Linked DNA regions of Caenorhabditis elegans. The protein of the gene in region 3 binds, or shares a complex with, the protein of the main gene of each other region. Each region holds a gene or a part of one and is shown on either strand. Other genes may lie near its edges.

Region 1 (8,698 bases), on a different chromosome or scaffold from region 3:
ATCTCTTGACAGATCGTAAACAAGCGCAAAAATGAAGATGGGCGGTTTTTTAATTGAAATTTTAAACAATAATATTAGAGAACTTTCGAATTATTTAAGTAAAACTGAAAATTATCGAAAAGAAACATTGATTTAGCATAAAAAGCCGCAGAGGACACTCGGGGAACAACAACTGACTCTGTGTCTGCGTGCAAAACTGAAAGTAGCATTTATCTCTGCGCTCTCTCATTTTTGTGCGTATTTAAGAAAAGTCTAGTCACTTCTCTATCTTTCTTTTTTCAATCCTACAATTCACGTCAAAAAAAACTTGTTTATTCTTTGAAGGAGGGTCAGATATTTGATTATTGTAGTCTCTAGCGTTTTTAAGTGGTAAATACTAAATTTTAAATCGGTTGATATGCAAAAAATAAATTAATCAGGCTTAATAACAGTTGTCAAACCACTTCGGGTCAAATACTTGAAACTTTTCGAACTTTTGGGAATCTTCTAAACTGAAAAATTGAAAATCCACACGGTAAATAGGATAAAAAGAATTCCAATTTTAAACGAAAAAATTTAAAGAAATTAAAAGAAATAAAAAATTGTCGTCAAGTTGAATGCTTTCTGTGCACTTGGATGCAAACACCAAGCTCCTCACTTTACGCGCAATTTTTTTTCCTTTTTATAATTTAAAAATATTATTTAACATGTCTTCTCAGATAGTTATGGCTAATATCAGTTTCAACCAAAAATTAAAAAGACAAAAAATTAATTTTTCAGATTTTTTTCATATAAAATTAATATTACATGAAAAATTCGAACAAGATAGTTCAAAAATAAAAGCACCATTGAAAATTGGAAATAGTACAAGAAGTGTGTGAGTTGTTGGTCGGTGTTAAGAGGGACAAAAGGCAATGAAAGATGAATATAAAGCAAGTCAATATATAGAGAAGGAAGAAAAAAATCCGTATTTAGAATGGGGTAAAAGCAGTGTGATGAACAATTGATGAAGGAAAAAAAAACAAAAAAATGGAGATTTTTTGAATAAAACAAAGAAGAATGTGACAATTTATCGCTAAATACTCGTTTCGAGTTGTTTGGATGGAGAAATTGAGCTTTCATATTAGAAAATTTGGGAAAATTATTAAAATATAAGGATAAAAACTATTTAGTTGGCTTTTCCAGCGTATACTGGATTTTTAAATGTTGTCGTGGCCTGTTTGTAGATTGGGTTCTCGTTCTGAAAAATGATAATTTGATAAATTTATATGTTTTTTGTTCCGTGTCACTTACCGTATCCCATTTGGCCATAAGCCTTTCGTTATTGAAAGTAGCGTATTCGGATCTATCATGAAGTACTGTGAGCAATTTCCAGAGCAACAAGAGAAGAATTCCGAGGATTACGATACCCGCAATGACTCCGAGCACAATTGCGAGCACAGGGACAGGTGGAGGACAATCTTTATGTTTTCTGACCCAGACTGTTGCATTATCTGTGGCCTCATCGTAATAGTAGAGATAATAGAATGTACAATCATCAGCTGGATCCACAAATTGGCAGGGTGTAGTTTCGTTGAGATCTGGAAATTTTAAAATTTCAAAATTTCAAGTTTTTTAATCGAGAAAAAAGGTTTAGAGAATTAGCAAAATTGCAATATTTACGTTTTAAGTATTATACACATTTTAAGGCAAAATCCATTATTTTCAGAAAAAATGTTTCTATTTTCCTGAAAATCAAGATTAAACGTTTAGAAAATTAACAAAAAGTGTAATATTTTAACAAATCAAATCAAATTTCCATTTAAAAAAAGAAGAAAAATGGGCAAAATTCCAAGCTATTTTTCGATAAATCAAAAGTTTTAGTTTTCCAATATTTCGAAAAAATATTTTAATATCTTTTTTTCTTTAAATTTTCCGATCAAACGTGTTTTTTTTTCAGAAATAAAATTTTCAAAAGTTTCTGACATTTAAAAAATTGATTTTCTGCTTTATCAGTATATTTTTTTAACTTACTGGGTAATTCCTCAACAGGAATAACTTTGAATTCACACTGATCACAGGCGGTCTCATTAAGTGGCCCTGTCTGCCATTGCTGGCACATTACACAATTCTTGTATTCCACACATTTCGTCGGACACGTCGGACAAATTTCGCATTTCGCTCCCGAATATCGATTTCCGTCGGGCGAATCGAAGCATCGACATCTTCCACAAATACATTCACCCTTTCCATTACAGATTTTTCCATTTGCAGAGAGGCATGAATCAGTTGAAATTGGGCATTCACAGGCTCTTCCAGTCCATCCAGGTGCACAAATACACTTTCCACAGTTGCATTCACCGTGTTCTGCACAGATTTTACGATCGTGTCGTGGGCAATTGAAGTTGTCGCATTCACAGAATTCTCCAGAGATTTGTTCTTCTGGATTGGCACGTGGATTACATTCACAACGTCCACAGTTACACACACCACGACCCTCACAGATTGCTGATTCGTTAGTTCTGGAAATTAGATCATTAGAATTTTTAAAAAAGAAAAAACGGAAAACAAAAATAGCTTAAATTTTTTAGCATTTTTGATAAACAATTTAATTTTTGTTAATTTTCTAACTTTTTTTCCAATTTTTTTGATTTTCTCTGAATTTTTTTAAAAAATGTAAGAAAGCAAAAATTATTTTCTAAATTTTCGAGCAAAAGTTTAAACTTCTGATTAGGCAACGACCTTTTTTTCGGAGTTTTTCCGGCAAATTTAAATGGATTTTCTCGTTTTTTCTTGTGATTCCATCGAAGGCGTCAAATTTTATCCAAAAAACCGAGAAAATTCAGTTGAAATTTTTAAAAAGAAAAAACTACAGAAAATCAATTTATTTGGAAATTTTCAAGGAATTTCAAAATTTTGTGATCTTAATTTTTATTCCAATCAATTTTCGATTAGTATTCCAGCCATAGAAGTTTTATAGCTTTTTTTTCGATTAAAATTTTTTTAATACTGCTCGGCCAATATATTTTTTAAAATTATTTCTCACATAATTTTCATGTTAAATTTTAAAAAAAACCATACCTTTTGCATTTTTCATTGAGCGCAGCAGTACTCATTCCAGGTCTATTACATTCACAATATTTTCCAACATTTCCTCCTTTGCATCGACAAACTCCACAAACCATATCTCCTCCGTTACAATCAGCCGAATTCGTCACAATTCTGTCTTGACGTTCACAATCACAATCGCATAAAACTTTAACATTAACGATAAGTGTCTCATCCAATCCAGATGGTCCGATACGGAGAACAAAATCACGTTTATCGATACAATGAGTATTTTCAAGGGTTACTTCGAATTGAACTTCATCTCCAACACGAATTCCCTCACAAACATTGGTATCTTTCAGTGTGGTTCCGCTGAAAAATTACGGTTATTTATAGGGTCAAATTTTAGAATAAAATTGTAATAATTTTAATAGTTTCGCTCCAAAATTGTGCTTTTTTTTAGTTTAAAACAATTTTATGTGAAGACTTTTTCGTCTAGAAACGTGAGAATTTAAGAGAGCTCAATTTTTCGATTCAAATTACTTTTTTTTTAATTTCGAGAAAAATGAATATTGAAAATTGCACGGCGAGGGCAATATTGTAGATATTTTACAATTATTTATATTGTTTTATGTAAAAGCGGATGAATCTGAAGGTTTCAACACCGAATTAACAGATTTTCACCTGAAATACCATAAATAAAAATTATATTACCAATTTTGAATGTTAAATACAAAAAAAGTAACAAAATAATCCAAAATCAGAATTTCAGCCAAAAACGCTTCTTCTCGTGGAGTACACGAAGCCTGCGTAAATCTACATGATCGAGGTCTTTCTCAATCTGTTTCTACAGCGTTTTTTTGTTTTTTTTTTAATTTTCAAAAGTTCCCAACTTTCATTTAAATTGAATATTATTCAAAAAACTCACTCCAAACACATAGATCTGTAAGTGAGCTTGAGTCCTTCTGAAGCATTTGCATTATCAACCATAATGATCTTTTCACTAATTTTCAAATATTCCTTCTCAATCAAATCGACAATATTTCTTGAATCATTAGCCAAAACTCCAACCGACGATGAAACATCTGGGAGTGCATTCGACAATTGTGTATACAAATCCTGATTGTTCTTTGTAACAGCAAAAATGACATTTGCCTTACGATCCTTGATCATTTGATGAAGAAGTGCAATTGATGGATAATCTTGATTAAGTGTTTCAGTATAATATCCTTCTCTATCTAAATGACATGTTCCATCATTTGGTTCGACGACACCTGCCAATCTTCCGTCTCCAGCGAAATGGAATCCAGCGTCAGTTGAGAAAACGATCATTTTACGAGCACGTTCACGCCACCCAATGGTTTTCTGAAATATTGATTTTTAGATTTTAAGCTTTCCCGATATCTCAAAAATGTTGATTTGATTCTTTTTGAATTTTTCTTTTAAATCAAATAACCACTTACATTACAAGCCAACGCCTGAACAACAGCATCGAAACCTCCTTCCGGAGCATCCAAATTTCCAGAAATTTCAGCTTTATCAACTTCAGCCTTGAACTTTGCCGTGTTCGTCGTCAATGACATTTGATGCTTGAATCCATATGGTTCTGCACATGGTGTTGGACACGGAGATAATTGTTTTTCGATTCGTGGATCGATGAATGGCATAAGTTTCTTGTCAATGAATGAACCGAATCCTAATCGGAAATTCTTTGTGACAGTTCTCATTCGTTCGGCGAGCAAGTCTCCGAGTTCGGACAGTTTCTGTTTGTCATCCTTCATGGAATATGAGAGATCCATCAAATAGTACAAGTCAACTGGATAATCAACGGCTTGACGGTAGGTCACATTGAAACGAACACGGGATTCTGAAAAAAAAACATTTAGATTGTTGTTGATATTGAAGAACTGGATTTAGAGAAAAATCTTGTGATTTTACAAGTTTTCGAGTCGCAGCGGTCACTAATTAATTTTTATTTTATAATCACCCTGAATTGCAAATTTTAGAAGTTTATCATTAATTCGTTGATTTAGGCATATTTTAAGCCCAAAAATCTCTTAAAATCCAAAAATAGTCAAACGAGCCTAAAATGTGTAAATCAACGAATTATGATAATAATAATAAATTACTTCACTTAATTGTATATTACAGGAGCTTTTTAAGATAAAAATTAAATAAAAAAGAGGCTGAAAATAACCAAAACCGGAAATATTTTAACTTTCCGCAAAAAAAATGCAGTACGATTTTTTTTTCAGTGTTTTTGAGACAATTTTCAAATGTGATTTTCAGCGGTTTTTGTTGTGAAAAATCAATGAAAAACATTTCTTTAATTAGTGCAAATTTTTCCTGAAAATTTAAGACTACGAAATTACCCTGAAATCTTCGTTTTTTTTGCTGAAACCCCAAAAAATTTTTTGTATTTTATTGATTATTTTCATCGAGTTTTTAAACGAATTATCTTTGAAAACCATATAAAAAACTTACTGGGCCGAATTTCGACGTACATCTCCTGTGGTTTGATCTGAACGGCTTCTTCCTCAGATTCAACTTGTCCTTGATCGGAGAGTTTACTGTCTTCAGTGATATCCAATTTTGTGGCCGGATCCTCGATATAACTGTTTGGACATCCATGTTCCATGAGCTTGGCACGGCTATCACAACGGGCATATGGCTTCTTCTCGTCGAACATCTGGAATTTTTTTTATTAAATAAAATAAATTCATGGTCTCAAGCATTTAACATACCGGTGCTCCACACCACGCGCAAGATTCATGATATTGAATGCACGCTGAGCATGTGTAATTGTCACGTGACAGACTGTAGCATGGGAATTCTGATTTTTCGACGACTTTTCCAGTGACTTCTCCAGTCTTCCAATCGCTTGCTGGTAAAGCGAATGGAAGAAGTGCTGCGAGGAGCAGCAATGATGTTGAAGGTGGCATTTGATGCCGGGTAGGTTCAACTGAAAAATTAATTAATTGGCTTTTAGTACATTGAGAACGGAGTAATTAGAAAAAAAAACGGTGAGATTAAAAAATGGTGTATTTATAAGAAAAATTGATGATGAAACTCTACAGAAACCTGATATCAAACTGCTTTCAACAGGTGGCAACTTTCATACAACTTTTGAAATTTTTAAAGCTCTCCAAAAAAGTTAGATTTTTTGAAAAAAATATTTTGATATAAAAATCAAGAATATCATACTAAAAATGGCACATCCCCAATTCATAATTTCTTCAGTGAAGAAAAAGTTATAATATAAAAGTTATACAATAAAAAATATATAGGAAATTTTGAAAGAAAATGACTTCTTGAAATATTAGTCACCATAGTAGGAAAATTTATTGTTTACTCAACAAACGGAGTGAATGCGGGAAGTATAACGGAGTCATGTTCTTTTTGTTAGAAAATTACATAGTTTTCGGGGGAAAATATAAAAAAACTTGCAGCGAGGAATATTGGAGTTCAGACAACTCGGATTTGAGAAAAATCGGTCGTGTCGAGACCGGGTACAGTATTTTCGGGAAACAATAACTTAATTCGGTATCTGCAGGCACACATGTGTAATGTATGAAATTTGAGATTTCGGGATAAAACTTCATCCGTTTAACATTTTTGGAAGTTATGCACATAACTTTTCAAACCTTAAAAATCGATAAAAGTATCAACTACGTCCACCGATCACCTCTTTTCGGAACGTGGGCGGATCTGCCAAGTGCTTCGACAGGAGCATCTCTCGCCTTCTCTCTCTTCACAACTGCCATCAACCCAGCAGCAGAATGCTCTTCGAAGAGATAGTGTAGGCGATAGAGTGCTCTATGTTGGCCGGGAGAGGGGCTCGGACCAAAGTGTAACGAGAGTTACACCTGCTTGTATCGTCGAAGAAACAAAGAAGACGAAGGGAAGAAAACCAAAGGGAAATGGGTGAAAAGGCGTTAGAATCGGGAGCTTCTAGAGACATCAGAGACCGATGAAATTGCGAAATTCACAGGAGGGGGTTTGATGTGGTGAGGAAAGGGATTTTTCGATAGTTTCAATATCGTTAGTTTGGTTCAAAAGTGGGAGTGGATTCTCATTTTGGAAGACATTCAAACAGGGATATTAGCTGAAACTAAAAAAAAGGATTTCACATTCTAGATCGACATTTTCCTTCTTTTTTTTGTGGTTTAATGAAATTTCTGACTATTTTGGGTATTTTTAAGCTTCCCGCTATTCCAAAAATGTTTAAACTCATTGCTGAACATCAAAACTGTTCCTGGTAAACTAGTTTAGGTGAAACTTTGAAGATAACTATAATTCTTGCTCTTACAGCTTATGAATGCACCTAGTAATTATTAAAATGTCAAAGTATAATTAATTTTAAAATGGCTGTCAAAAGTTATCATACAACGATATAACAATTTAGACATTGTGAAAAACGACGATTTCAACACTTAAATAACGAAAAGAGTAGAAAATAATAGCGTCTGAGTCATTCTTGTTCTAAATTTCCCACGCCCACCGTCTCCCGTCTCCAATCCATCAAATCGATAACAATCTGATAGGAACTAATTCAAAATCCAAACTGAATTGAAATTGAAATTGGGAGGAACAAAACGAAGAAGGGAACCAAGGGATGACAAGTAGTAAGACATCTGGTGCATACATATACTAGTATCCTCTGTCTCTATGTCTCTCTGTGTTCGTATTGCCCTTGTGTGTTTAATCATAGCACTAGCCCGGAATAAAAGAGCATTGAATCTGTGGAGAGACAGACACAATGAGAAGAGGGGTCGACTGTTGGTACTTTTGTTAGCAGGAGGGGAATCTACAGAGAAAAGAAGCAGTTAAACGGAGTGTGGACAGCAGCAGTCAGGATATATGGAGATCGATGATTATTGTGGGTGATGATGGGCGGCGGAAGAACAAATTAAAACAAAGTTTTCTCCCGAAAAAATACCGTTTTTCGTAGGCATGTGGAGATATTCAGCATTCAAAATTATGAAAGATGCCGAAAAAGAGGAATATTCTCTCTGGGGATATATCATCACTCAGGCAGAGCAACTTTTGATGGCCCGACACCATCAAAAAGAGGATGAAATGTAGTTTTTTGGGGAATTCTTGAATGAGAAAAGAGCTGAACTACAAAATAAAGACAGTGCAGCATGTTCTCATAATATTTTTCATTAAAATAAAATGATAAAATTTAGAAAAATAGAAAAACGCTCAAATTTTATAGTTTGTCGACGTTTTTTTAAGCGTTTTTCCAATTGTTTTAACAGAAATAGAAGTTATTTTCGAATAAAGAAACACCAGAAGCTAATTTAGCTAAACCTCAAGAGAAATACGAGCTAAAGAAGCTTTTCTTTCAAGAAACATTCTATCAATGCAGAATTCTCCACCAAAACCTGCGTTTGAAGCTGTCAAGCTAATATATCATAACTTTCACCTCTTTTTCACTTTTCCCCGCTAATTTTCCTATTAGTCGGGCTATATCTTGCTGTCAAACGATATGCACTTGAAGAAGAATTATTAAAGTGATTGGAAACATGGAAAACATAAAGAAAAACAAATGAAACGAAACATTTTGCGAAATAAAGAAAAATAATGTGAATTGAAAACCCCCGCGAAAACCTAAAGTGTGTGCGGCGACTTTGCAAACACTGCGCGCGCAGCTTGCAAGTGGGCGGAGTTACTGAATACCGATTACTTT
Region 2 (5,218 bases), on a different chromosome or scaffold from region 3:
CTATGGATTCTTTGGTCTCAATGACTGGAAAAAAGTTGCACTATAATAAGCACAACAGTTTAAAAAATCATTGAATTTTTCTGAATTTTTTAATTAATTGTTAAATTTTGCAACAAAAAAAAATAGAAAGTATTGAATTATTTTCCCATACCCGCGTAACTAAATTACCTAATTTTGATATGTTTGTTTTTTACAGTTGTGTCAGTTTTTTGTCCTTTTTTGTGATTTTTGAGTAATAACAGAATCTTACAAAATTTTAGACTTTTCCACAAAAAAAAACCAAAAAAAAAATTGATAAAAAAGAAGAATTTTGTTGGAAATTCTTCAAATAATCGATAATTGAAAATTTATTTTTTAACGAAATTAACTTCTTGGAAACTGAATTTTTTTTGTCATTTTGAATTTAAAAAAAAATCATCGACTCTATTTCATCTTTATGTAAAATGATCAAACAGAGTTTGCTGAGCAAAAAAACGATGAAAGTCGTTTTTTGTTGGAATAGCCCAATTTTTCTTTCACATTTTGAAGCTTCAACAAATAAATTCCCAAGAGAATTTCAAGTGCAATACGATCATTTCTACTGGCTCATTCGTATTTTTAGAAATTTCACAAACATTTTGACACTGGAAAGTATAATTCTCACTTAACACGTTTCAAGTTGAACCAAAAATATCTCTCCGGGCGCTATGGACTCACCTTCCTGTTGATCACTGATTACAAATTGATTGTTGATGCCGAAAAAAAGGATTCAATATTACAATACGATTTTGTTTCAATACAGTCAATATTTTTTTTCTGAACAAAAAAATAGTACAAAAATTCAGAAATCAAGTTATGCAATAATGACACCCGAGAAAAGATGCAAAGTTTTTGCGGATAGGAACACAAAAAATTTGGTCGAAAGTTATGATTGTTTTCAGAAGGCTTCTGAATCAAAAAGTAGCTGGGAAAGGGAAGGGGAAGGACAATTATGGAGCTAGAAATGAGTACAATGACATTTTTGTGTGACCGAAAAATAGTTTTGAAATATAAGGCATTTAAAAGACAAAACGGATTGATAACAATTTTCACGATGTTTTTTTTTAGCACCAAGGTATTAAAAACAATGGGAAAGAGAAATGAGCAATGGCATTTGGAAAGTATTACTTCTTTAATGGAAATTGATGAATTACGGGGACTCCTTTATTTCTTTCTTTTTTATTATTTTGGTCCAGGACTCATCGATCTTCTTTGATTTTCAACGTCGCGGTCCTTTAAGCTTTCTGAGATGCGCTTTTTCAATTCTGTGGGGAACCGATCGTAACATCGTTTGCATGTTGGTTTCATATCGAATTCATAGAATTTCGTTCTGCAATGCATACATTAATTTGTTTTCATCAAGTTCATATGAATAGTTTTGCACTCACTTCTGATCAAGTTTCTTATCACAAAAACTGCAGGAGAAACATTTGACACACCACGTTTTCTGAAGAGCTTGGAATACTTCCCCGCAACATGGATCTCCGCATTTGAAACAAAGATTTCCGAATAACTGCAACAAACTTATTAATGTTTGCTTGTTCATATTTCAAGTACCTTGTGGAAGTGCTGTTCGCAATATGGAAGTCCCTTTCTCTCGTAGTGACGATGTCCCAAGAATGGCTTCTCACAGACGGAACAGACAAAGTGCTCCACGTGCCAGTGCTTGCCGAGTGCCGCGATGACACGCTCTTCAATCGGCCTGTGACATGCTCCACAAATTGGGATACCCATGGTATCGTGGCATCTGAGACAGTAGAGCTCTCCGTTTACTTCACGAGAAGCTGTCGTTAATTCATTGCTGAAAATTTTTTAAATTCAACTCATACTGTAAAACAAGATAAATTCTTACTTGCAACGTTTGCACTTAAAGTGATAAGGATGGAATGAATCTCCACGGAATTTGATGTGTTGTCCATCATCAATCATTGCGTGGCATTTGTGGCACACATATCGTCCATGACCTGCTGCCTTTTCCCGTTCGTTACATTCGCGACAGAGAGCTCTGAAAATTGAAATTCTTTCGAGCTTCGTTTACGCTCTCCAACTTACCGTCCAGCGTTCCGTAAAAATCCGACATCGGCCAACTGTTTATTGCAAATCTCACAACAGAAACATCCCGGATGCCAGCTGGCATTCATTGCTTTAATCACTCGTCCAACGATGAACTCGTCTAGAATATAAAACATTTATGGCTCTGCGTGTCTTCTCAAAGATACTTACTGCATTTTCCACAACATGGTGAGAACAGAACATGGAAGTCATGCTCGCAGTACTTTCGTCCTTCATACTCAAAGTAGATGCCGTCTGGGAATGGCTCAAAGCATTGAGCACATCTAAAAATTTTTTTGCAATTTTTGAGTTCTCTTAATTCTAACTTATAAAAACTTACACAAAACACTCCGAATGCCATACTTGCCCGGAAGAGTTCACCATCTGATCTTGCATCGAAAAACCATCATTACAACGGACGCACACCATGTTCTCGAAGCCATGGGCGAGATCCCCGTTGATATGGTTGTGGTCGGAATCCATTCCGCCACACACCATCTATTATTGAACCACTGAAAGTTGGCCACTATGCACACAGGATGGTTTAACGACCATGGGTTTGTAAGGAAAAAGGTGGGGGTAGGAAAGAAGAAAAGAAAGCGAGCGAGTAATATGAAGACAAATATGTACAAACAAGGGAAAGCCGGAGAAAGCATATAGTGTGTATAGGTTAGGTATGTTGGTTAATCGAAAAGAGCACAAAAAGTCAGAATTTCATATCTACATTTTGTTATATGCAAAGTAAATTTTTGCATAAACACAGAAATTTCCATATTCTAAGAATCGTAAAAACACTGGAGGTATTATACGAGGGGGCTGTGAAACAGTAGAAAAGAAGAAATCCTCAAGGAAGAGGCAAATGTGCCAAAGGTATAGGATGCGACGGGTTGACATATGTGTAAGAAGAACTCGGAGGCGGTGGCGTGGAAGCTTTTGCCATTGCATTTTGTGTAAAGAATGAAAACGAACCAAGAGATAGAGATATAAGTGAACAACAAAAGTATGTGTGTGAGTGCTGCTGCACAACAGATTCAACAGGATGCCTCAGCTTCCCTGACTAACTCACAGAGGGAGACGTGTATCCGATGTGTTGATGATCAGTATTGATTGGGAACAGAAAAAAGATTCTTCAGAAACATCGGTTGGGATATCGTGTGTTTAAATGGGAAAAAATTCGAACTAGTTATTTCGATTTTTTTTTGACTTTCTATGTACTACTCTACATAACAAAATTCAGTGAAGCGGCACATTTCACGCTTCAAAATGTGATACATGTATTACACCAGATGTTTTGAGATGCAACGGAGGAAAGCAACAATGCTTCTTTTGTGGTGTTTGCATTTAAAAATAAAACTAGTTGTAAAAATGAAACCAAAAATTCAATACAACTTCTATACGGCTAAACTATAAAGTTTTGAATTATATTTAAACATAGTAATAGTTATAAACAACACCTTAAAAATGATAATAGTTGTTGAAAATCAACTTTCCTCACACAGTGATATGGGCATTTACTGGGCAAAAAGAAAGTGCGCAGAATGTACAACTAAAAAGAGTGGAAGAAAGCGAGAGGCAATGCGCGCGCGGCGGGTTGGCCGACAGCCAAGCGGGGGGTCACAGACTACGGCCGCAGACGTAACGACTCCGGGAAGAGTGCGCGATTCGAAGAGACGCATACAATCGGGTTGCGTGCGTAGGGTCACATTAATAGCCAAGTATTGCTGCTCGTTGATACTCGGAACAGGCAGGAACAAGCTTTTTCTAACACATGTTTATAGACAGTTGTGAGAATAAGAAAGGATCATCAGTTTAGATATGAGAAATCAAAAGACATGGTTGAAAAGTACGAACCCCGCAAATGTTGGCAGATAAATGTTCAGTATCTGACCTTCGTTTGTGTTTTTATATTCTTACGACTGGCCTTGATCATGAGCTAGTATCATATATCAGGATGACAAAAATCCAGAAATTGTAGCTTGAAAACAATGACTAACTTTGAAATGATGACATTATAGAATGAGGTCCTCTGCCAGTAGAAATGCCTCCACCTGCCAAACAGCTGTGCGCAGTGTTGAGAAATACCACCGCTTTTTCTAGAAGATCGTAAACCGATAACAGAGGTTTTTGGACCGACTTTTTTCGGAGCAGTGTATAAATTCTAAACTGAGTATTTTATTACACAAATCTATAAGTTTCAAAGTGAGTTTCTACAAAATGAACCAGTGTGGCATGTTCTCAAAATTTTTTAATTGAAACTCAGTGATATCGAAAAATCTTTAGCTTGTCTAAAAATATTTTTAATTTCAGTTGGAACAATTTAAAAAGTGCTCACAATTAATCCGAAAGTTAAAACATCAAATGAAAAATCTTTCAAAAATGTCCTATTTTCCCAACTAAAAAAATCTTATTTTCAGAGAAAGTAAGTAGTTTTCCATATTCTGAATTTCCATAAAAAAGTTTGTGAGCACATGCCAAACTGGCTCATTTTATAAAATAGTTGGTCTACAGTTGCCACGAATGTCTGGTGTTCATCATCCACATTTGAAAATGTTAGAAAAATATTTGTGTAGATCACAATTTTTCAATTTCCTTTTCTTGAAGTTTTTCGTTTCATAGTTTTATAGCATCTTCCTGTTAGTGAAAACTAGCTTGAAAGGGAAAACTAAACATTGAATTGTCTACACAAACTTTTTAAAATTTCTTTTAAAAAAATCAAATATGGATACTGGACACGGATCAAAACCGTTTCAAAAAAAATATGTGTGAAAAATATCATGCGCACTAAAAGGAGCACTTTCAGCAGTTCCATTCGACTTTTTTTTTTGATATATTACTTTTATTCATAAAACAAGACAAGGGATTCAAGAGATCAGATAATTTTTAATGTTCAGCACATTTGATTAAAAAATGACAGAAATGAAATATGACAACAATAGTAATGCATCAGCGTTGAATTGGAATAATAGGATAAAATTGAAAGAAACAAAAAGAATCACACAGACAGGGAGGGGAGCCGGAGCAGATCAAGATGATGTACTATCGTCTTTTTCAGCACGATCTTCTTTTTCATTTCCTGCCCAAAGTGGTTTGACCAGTGCGGAAAGATTACGGTCCATTTCGTTAAAGTTATACCGTTCCTTGATCGGCT
Region 3 (8,263 bases):
TTTCGGTTTTTTTTTTCAGAAAAATGACAAAAATTAAGCGCAGGAATGAAAATAGATGAAAAAAAACCGTTTCTTCGAACATTTGTAGAATTTGTGTTGGTTTTTTTTAAAAGGATAATGCGAAATTTTGGAGTTATATGCACTTCACTGAAAAACGGATAGTTCTAATGGGAAGGAAAATTCTTATTCGTGAAGTTATTGGGCCCATTTTCTTCAATTTGCTCGATGATTTAAGAGGCACTGAAGAAAATGCGAGGAAATTATTTTTTTTAATTGTCTGACTCTACGGATTTTTTTTTAATATCCACTATTTTTTCGGGATTTTTTTTTTGATAATTCTCTGTTTTGAACAAGATTTTATAACACAGAAACATAGGAAAATGCCGAACTTTAGCTCTGAAAACTATTAAAAGTTATTTTTATCATGAAGTACAATTTTTCACGGAGAAACCCGACACAAATAAAAGTTTTACGTGATGTTCAACGTTTAATATAAATTTTCAAACAAATAAATCGAATATTGGCCAAAAAAACTAAAGAAAACAGAGTAAAAAGTTCAAAAATAAGATTGCAATTGTTGAAAAACAATGAAAACAATTGCTCGTAAAGTTATGGCGAAGTACGCAAAAGCCTCTGCGTACTTCGCAATCTACCGTAGTCATCAATTAATTTTTTTGTCAGTCGCGCGCGACAACATGTCGTGCCGTGCCGAGAAATACTGCATAGGATATAAAAACAAAGAAACGTTAAGTGATAGCTGAAAATATCAGTTTGATTTAAATGGCTACAAGGTTATTCCTTGACACAAAAAATATCCCGTAGGGAAAACTACAGTAATTCTTTAACATCTTTAAATTTCGATTTAAATTTCGGAAACATTGATTTATCGATTGAATATTGAAATTAAGCCGAAAATTAAAAACTAATACGAGGAAACGAAGAAAAATGAATATCGATGTCACTATTCGAAAAGAAAATCATTTCAAAAATCCGTAAATCGACTAAAGCGCTACAGTAGTCATTTTAAGTATTAATATAGTTCTCGCTACGAGATATTTTGCGCACTATGCATTCTCAGAGTTTTGTGTTCCCGTATACACAGTGCTCAAATTCTTCGTCCAAAAAATTTCTGAGCTTATTTCAAGTTTGATCCAACTCTTGTTAATGTCTTATATAACTTTAAAACGATTCAAAAAACGATTAGGTCAAAAAGTTTGATTTTTAACGCCGCCAAAAAAATTTGCATACGCTTTATAAGCAACTTTTGTACCAAGTTTATATTTCTTTTGAGCCAGACTTGGACAAGAAGTTAGCATTTTGTGTCAGCGCATATTGAAATTTCACTACCATTTCTAATATACTGTAAAGGATAGTTACTTTTGTGGAAAATCTGAACTTTTATCAATTGCACCATAAAAGACGAGGTTACCAAGTGTTCACAGTATGAACTTCACACGTGGTGTTAGAGTGTCCCATTGATCTACGTAGTTCACATTGTTCACAAATGTTCACATTATCCAGATATTCTAATTCAGAAACTAGTATACACCTTTCTCCATTTCATTGCACTTCTCCATTCATACCCAACTACCCGTGATATCCTATACTTTTACTCTCTCTCTCTCATGTCCAATGTCCCTTCAGAAGCTGCTTCCTGGCATCTTCCTCCTCCTTCTTCTGCCAAATCTTTCTGCCAGCCGGGGGACGGGACTCTTTGTGTAATGTTGTCTTCTTCTTTTCCTTCATCTACAGCAGCATCGCCTACTGTCATTCCTTCCCATTCCCGCGTAGCCGCCTGCCGAGTGTCCTTCAACTCTCCGTCTCTTCTACAACTGTTCACTCTCTCTCGCTCTCTCATTGCATTTTGGAACATACAGATAGGGAGTCAGAGAGATAGAGAGTGAGAAAAGAAGCGGAGAGACGGTGTTGCTGTGAGTCAGAGACGAAGAGTGTGTACTGCTCCGGCCGTCCGTTTGTTCGTCCGCATCGGCAGTCTTTTCTCTCATTCTCTCATTCTTCAATGTTCTCTAGCCTCTTTTTTCGTTTATTTTATTCTGTATACACGTTCCTCTCTACCTGATATTCTCCCACACATAGCTTTTTTATTGATTTGTTGATTGTTGTTAAGCGGTTTTTTTTGTTTTCTATTCTATCTACCGTGGACGGAGAAAATACACTGTTTCTATAATTTGCTAATCTTTCCAACAACTAAAATATCTCAGTGGTTCTACCTAAATCACTTCAAACATGGCACATCTTGTTGAAGGAACCTCGATTATTGATGGAAAATGGCAATTGCCAATTTTGGTCACCGATTTGAATATTCAAAGGTGAGGATTTAAAATTATATATTTAGAAAATATTAACTTTCAATAGTACTGCATGTTTAGCAGTTGTTCTTAAATAACTGCAATTGCAGGAAGTTATAGAAAAAGATTCAATGCACATTTTCTGAATTCAAGTCATTTTGTCAGAATAAGTGATAATTGAGTTATTCTCGGATTGAGGTTAAGCCTAAACCAATCCTAGGCCCAAGCCTAAGTCTAAGTCTACGACTAACTATAAGAATAAGCCTAAGTCTACGCCGAAGCCTAGCCTAAGTTTAAGCTTAAGCTTAAGTTTAAGCCTTACCCTAAACCCTAGCCTAAATTTTCAGAAGATTCCGGTTAAATTTTTTTCCAAACATGAATGAGACATTTTCAAACTCAGAGTCTTCCAATTTCCAATAAATGTATTTATTTCTTCCAGAAGCATCTCTGTCCTTGGAAATCTTAATGTGGGAGGACTCATGCTCGAACTTGTTAGCGAATGCGGTGAGTTTTTTTTTCGAATCTTATCACCTCGGTCAAGATCTCAAAGATCTCAATAGACCATGATTTCTCTCTTTTCTACTCAATATAATCTGTTAGATATATCTGCCACTGTGTGCGCCTACGCGTTTGTTACAACGAAAAGATACGTGGTGTGTGCACCATTACGAAATGATGTTCAATATCAGTAAAAATTGAAGGCATGGGAAAATGTTGAAATCTGCTGGAAAAAAATGTTCTGGAAAGATAGGGAACACTTTTGGAAACACATCGTAACGGAGCCCTTGAAGAGTGCGCCAAGTGAAAAATTTCTCGTACAATTCTTTCAAGTTTGCTGAAAATTCGTATTTTGAATAAAACAGTTTAATTAAAAAGTTAATTTTTGAGAGATCTTCACGAAATTTTTTAGGGACTGTGAGCTCCGAAATAGTTGACAAGAAGTCCTCTATACATTTTGAAACATCATAGAAACTATGCGGAACCTATCAAATATTTATGGGCTCTTCTCATCTCCTACCAGTTGCTCTTCTCTTTCTTCTTTTTCTTTTCATCCTAACCCCTGTTAATGTTGACTATTCGAGTGCACGCGTGCGCATCTACATAAGCTGATTGTTTCGGATGGGACATTCGCTGTTGGGTACATAAAGTTTAGAGGCTTTCCTTGCAGAGATATAAGAGCACACAATGATAGGGGGTCCCAGGAGAGAGTATCAAAACTTGAGAAGCAACTGGCATTCATCATGACCAAGAGCAGAAAGGGCGCATAGGAGAGGCGCATAAAAACGTTTTGGAATTAAGTTTTCGCGCGATTTTTAGAACTTGCAGAAGCTGAAGGGATGAAGATTTTCTGCATTAGGGTATAACAATTTGTGTGCTCAATGTGTTTAATTTCCAAGTTCAAAATGTAATCATTTGGGCTTCAGCTGAACAAACAATTTACAAAACAGCTGTATTGAAACAAGAATCTAAAAAACTCCAAATATTTCTATTTTTCCAGATGTTGAACGAGATTGGTCTGATCATGCTCTGTGGTGGCCGGAGAAGCGGCGATGGCTTCAACATACTCGATCGACTCTTGACCAGAATGGAATTACAGCTGAAACACAATTGGAGTTCACACCAATGCATAAAGAAGCAAGAATTCAGTTACCAGATATGCAAATGATTGATGCGAGAGTTGATTTCTCGGTAAATTCATTCAAAGCAACAAAGAAATTGTGCCGTGATTTGGGTATTCGATATTCAGAGGAATTGTCTTTGAAGAGGTAAGTAGGAATTGGGAAGTTTTTGATGTTTTATTTTTAATTTAAATAAGAATGGAGTTGTGAAATTCCTTAGTTGGTTGAACGAGGATTGAAGATCCTTGGGAATCTTAAGCAACTAGGGAAAATCTATGCCTGATCGAAATCCTGCCCCAAAAGTTTGAGCAAGGTCAAAAGTTAACTACTACCGAGCATGTGAAATAACCCAATAATTCAAAATCATATAATTTAAAATATTACAGATATATTCCACCAGAGGATCTTCGACGTGGAACATCTGACGCCGACAACATGAACGGTCCACTCTCAATGCGTCCAGGAGAAGAATCAGTTGGACCAATGACTCTCCGTAAAGCTGCTCCAATCTTTGCTTCTCAATCGAATCTTGATATGCGCCGTCGTGGTCAATCACCCGCGCTCTCCCAATCTGGACACATTTTCAATGCTCACGAAATGGGAACTCTTCCTCGCCACGGAACATTGCCACGTGGTGTCAGTCCATCGCCAGGAGCATATAACGATACGATGAGAAGAACACCAATTATGCCAAGCATCAGTTTTAGTGAAGGACTTGAAAATGAGCAATTTGATGATGCTCTTATTCATTCACCAAGACTTGCTCCAAGCCGTGATACTCCAGTATTTAGACCTCAGAACTATGTGGAAAAAGCTGCGATTAATAGAGGATGGCTTGATTCTAGCAGATCACTTATGGAACAAGGAATTTTTGAAGGAGATATTATTTTACTACGATTCAAATTTATGAATTTCTTTGATTTGAATCCAAAATATGATCCAGTGAGAATTAATCAACTTTACGAGCAAGCAAAATGGAGCATTTTACTTGATGAATTCGATCACACAGAGGAAGAAGCCACACTATTTGCTGCTCTTCAACTTCAAGCAACCCTGCAAAGAGATTCTCCTGAACCTGAAGAAAATAATAAAGATGATGTGGATATTCTTTTGGACGAGCTTGAGCAAAACCTTGACGCAGCTGCTCTTAACAGACGATCAGATCTTACACAAGTTCCCGAGTTAGCAGATTATTTGAAATATATGAAACCAAAGAAATTGGCAGCATTCAAAGGATTTAAACGGGCATTCTTCTCGTTCCGTGACTTATATTTATCATATCATCAAAGCTCCTCAGATGTCAACTCAGCTCCACTTGGACACTTCTCATTGAAGGGATGTGAAGTTAGTCAGGATGTTTCAGTTGGACAGCAGAAGTATCATATCAAATTGTTACTTCCAACTGCTGAAGGAATGATTGACTTCATTTTGAAATGCGATTCCGAGCATCAATATGCCAGGTGGATGGCTGCGTGTCGGTTAGCATCCAGAGGGAAGTCAATGGCTGATTCGTCATATCAACAGGAGGTGGAGAGCATCAAAAACTTGCTCAAGATGCAAAGTGGTAAGTTGTTGATTTTACAATTTAATAAGTGATAATGAAATTATTTTCTTCGAATGAAACAATTTTTCAGGTAATGGAAACGAAAACGGAAACAGCAACACAGCTTCGCGAAAAGCCGCCGCTGTAAAACTACCAAATGATTTCAATGTTGATGAGTACATATCGTCGAAATACGTACGACGAGCACGCAGCAAGCAACAAATTCAACAGCGAGTATCAGATGCTCATGGAAATGTTCGACAACTCACGGCAACCGAAGCGAAACTTCAATATATCCGAGCATGGCAAGCACTTCCCGAACACGGAATTCATTATTTCATTGTAAGATTCCGAAATGCTAGAAAGGCGGAATTGGTGGCTGTTGCTGTGAATAGACTTGCAAAATTGAATATGGATAATGGAGAAAGTCTGAAGACATGGAGGTTTGCAAATATGAAGAAGTGGCATGTCAACTGGGAAATTCGACATCTCAAGGTTAGTTTTTGATGAATAAAATATTTAAGATCTGGACATGATCGGAAATCGAAAAATTGCAAAATGTTGAGAACGTTTTCGAGACCTATTCATCTAAGTTTCTTGTAACAACTTTCTGATTGTTAATCTATTTTGTGATGTCTTGAAATTACGTTTTCATCTCAAAATCTTTCCTAATATGTATATCTAAACACAAAGAACAATTGGCTTTCAAAAAATCTTTGTATTGTTTCAAAAATTATAATATTGCGTTTTTGATTCAATTGTTGTTTTCTATCCATAAGTCTATTCGCCGTAACTTACTAAAAAATTCAGGTCTTTGGTAATTTAAAATCTAAATCAGATAATGTTCTCAAAGACCGAAACTTTTTCGGTAAACTTGGTGCTGACAGGAAGGTAGGCAGACTTCATGCCTATTTGCCTACATGCCAGCGTTGCACCTTGAGCGTTTTAGAAATAAATTTTTAAAATCTGTTTTGTGCCTACATAAAAGGCTTAGATAAACCCGAAAATAACCGAGAACAAACTTTTTGAAATTAATTACTTTTTTTCTTTGAGTATACTATTTTATCATCCTATCTCCCCAATTTCCAGATTCAATTCGAAGATGAGGATATCGAATTCAAGCCACTTTCCGCTGATTGCAAAGTCGTTCACGAGTTCATCGGTGGATACATTTTCCTGTCAATGCGAAGCAAAGAACATTCTCAAAATCTTGATGAAGAACTTTTCCACAAACTTACAGGAGGATGGGCTTAGATATTTAAATTTCTATAATCTTTTGCAAACCAAAGAATTTTAATTTTAGGCTCCAATTCCATCTTTTTCGTTTCAAAATTTCAATATATATATTTGTTTTCTTTCATTTTTCTTGTTTCTCATTTCCCCCCTTCCCCTCTTCCAAATAATTTTTCGTTTTAATAAGACAAGTATACCGGATCGAAAAAAAGTTTTATGTGCCTTTTCATATCTATGGATTAATAATAATTGTATGAGAAAAATTGAAAAATATTATAAAAATTGAATAATAAAAACTGATGAATAAACATTTAAAATCTTCTTCCGCGTTCCTCGAGCTTTTCGAATTTTTGTTGATTGCTGATTTCTAGTCTTCCAACGTTTCGTTCAACTTCAATCAGCAACTGATCTCGCTCTTTTTCCAGTTTTTCAAATTCTCCCATCACAATATCATTGAGTTCCTTGTATTTTTCAACTTCTTTCCTCATATTCTCAACGTTTCGCATATCTCGCTGGAATAATAATCAGGAAATTATAGTCATTTTCCATCTTTTCTGGTAGTAGGCAAACGTAGGTACAAGGCAGGCAGGCACTGTTCTGCTATCTAGCTACCTACCTAACTACCTAGGAATCCTTAATCTGTTCTATTCAACCATATAAAATCAATAGTACAAAACATATCGGCAATATAAATTTGATAGAAAAAAAGCAAATAAGTTTGTATCCCGTTATTTAAAAATTTGTTTTCAAACGGATTGAAATCATGTGAAAACATGTTCAAGAAGTATCAAGAAATTTGAAACAAAATTTTCAAGCAACAGCAAAAAATATCTGAATGTAGTCTTCGCCCATAAATTTGTTTTTTCACGATTTAGAATCGAATTGTTTCTTATTTTTCAAACTAGTTTTGTACGTTTTTTTTAAAGTTAAACAATTTGTCAGAGCAAATCAAGCAACTTTCACGAATGATACGTACATCCCTTTTCTTACCTGAAAATTCCTCTTGTAATCCTGAAGCCTCGCGATTTCTTTGCTCATCTCATCAATGTTTGCTTGATTTTGGCCGAGTAGGACGGCTTGATCCTTGAGTTTCTCGCGACTATCAATGAGATCCGCTGATATTGAATCACGTAGATCACGGAGATTTGAAACTTCGCTCTGGAATGGTGAAGATGGTTTTTATGAAGAATTAATACTTTAATAAAAATTAGTTGAAAAAATTGATCTTATGATTCAAATATCGTTATAAACAGGGGGTTTTTATTTTGCTTTAAAAATATCCAAAATAGACTCAAATTCAGAAATACGACAGAATAAATACGATGAAAATAGAGGAAAATTTCAAATATTAATTTTTAGTGTGATTTGACAATTTTGGTTTTTAATTCCCTCCAAAACGAGAAGCCACGCCCGCTTTCGAACCAACCAGAATCTTCGAACGTTACAAACTTTATCTGATTAGTTCAAACGTGGGCGGAGCGAGTCGTTGATTGGTCGCAGTTCTCGCTGTGGAGGAAATTCAAATCATATATTTTAACTATTTTGAGATTTTTTTTCTG

Evidence for each region. Proteins that work in one complex are often made in the same cells at the same time.
Region 1: unc-112 (region 3) and pat-3 share a complex: the UniProt entries of both Caenorhabditis elegans proteins name them as parts of the integrin containing attachment complex.
Region 2: unc-112 (region 3) and unc-97 share a complex: the UniProt entries of both Caenorhabditis elegans proteins name them as parts of the integrin containing attachment complex.

The regions. Positions count from the first base shown.
Region 1 is NC_003281.10:3,908,182-3,916,879, forward strand, and holds pat-3 (Integrin beta pat-3), read right to left. Parts: upstream 5,969-8,698; 5' UTR 5,949-5,968; coding exon 5,751-5,948; intron 5,696-5,750; coding exon 5,491-5,695; intron 4,874-5,490; coding exon 4,470-4,873; intron 4,372-4,469; coding exon 3,935-4,371; intron 3,379-3,934; coding exon 3,040-3,378; intron 2,481-3,039; coding exon 1,993-2,480; intron 1,560-1,992; coding exon 1,273-1,559; intron 1,220-1,272; coding exon 1,148-1,219; 3' UTR 750-1,147; downstream 1-749. UniProt on the Caenorhabditis elegans protein: Integrin alpha ina-1/beta pat-3 is a receptor for laminin. Integrin alpha pat-2/beta pat-3 recognizes the sequence R-G-D in its ligands. Plays a role in cell migration, morphogenesis and probably in cell-cell interactions.
Region 2 is NC_003284.9:5,590,497-5,595,714, reverse strand, and holds unc-97 (LIM domain-containing protein unc-97), read right to left. Parts: upstream 2,583-5,218; 5' UTR 2,554-2,582; coding exon 2,411-2,553; intron 2,355-2,410; coding exon 2,242-2,354; intron 2,192-2,241; coding exon 2,071-2,191; intron 2,024-2,070; coding exon 1,871-2,023; intron 1,820-1,870; coding exon 1,576-1,819; intron 1,532-1,575; coding exon 1,407-1,531; intron 1,349-1,406; coding exon 1,201-1,348; 3' UTR 750-1,200; downstream 1-749. UniProt on the Caenorhabditis elegans protein: Component of an integrin containing attachment complex, which is required for muscle development and maintenance. Probably function in adherens junction.
Region 3 is NC_003283.11:14,690,614-14,698,876, reverse strand, and holds unc-112 (Protein unc-112), read left to right. Parts: upstream 1-2,222; 5' UTR 2,223-2,247; coding exon 2,248-2,330; intron 2,331-2,748; coding exon 2,749-2,813; intron 2,814-3,807; coding exon 3,808-4,075; intron 4,076-4,314; coding exon 4,315-5,492; intron 5,493-5,562; coding exon 5,563-5,966; intron 5,967-6,560; coding exon 6,561-6,725; 3' UTR 6,726-7,015; downstream 7,016-8,263. Other genes in the region: gasr-8 (uncharacterized protein), read right to left, coding at 7,016-7,216, 7,695-7,862. UniProt on the Caenorhabditis elegans protein: Component of an integrin containing attachment complex, which is required for muscle development and maintenance. Probable regulator of cell-extracellular matrix adhesion. Required during initial muscle assembly to form dense bodies and M-lines.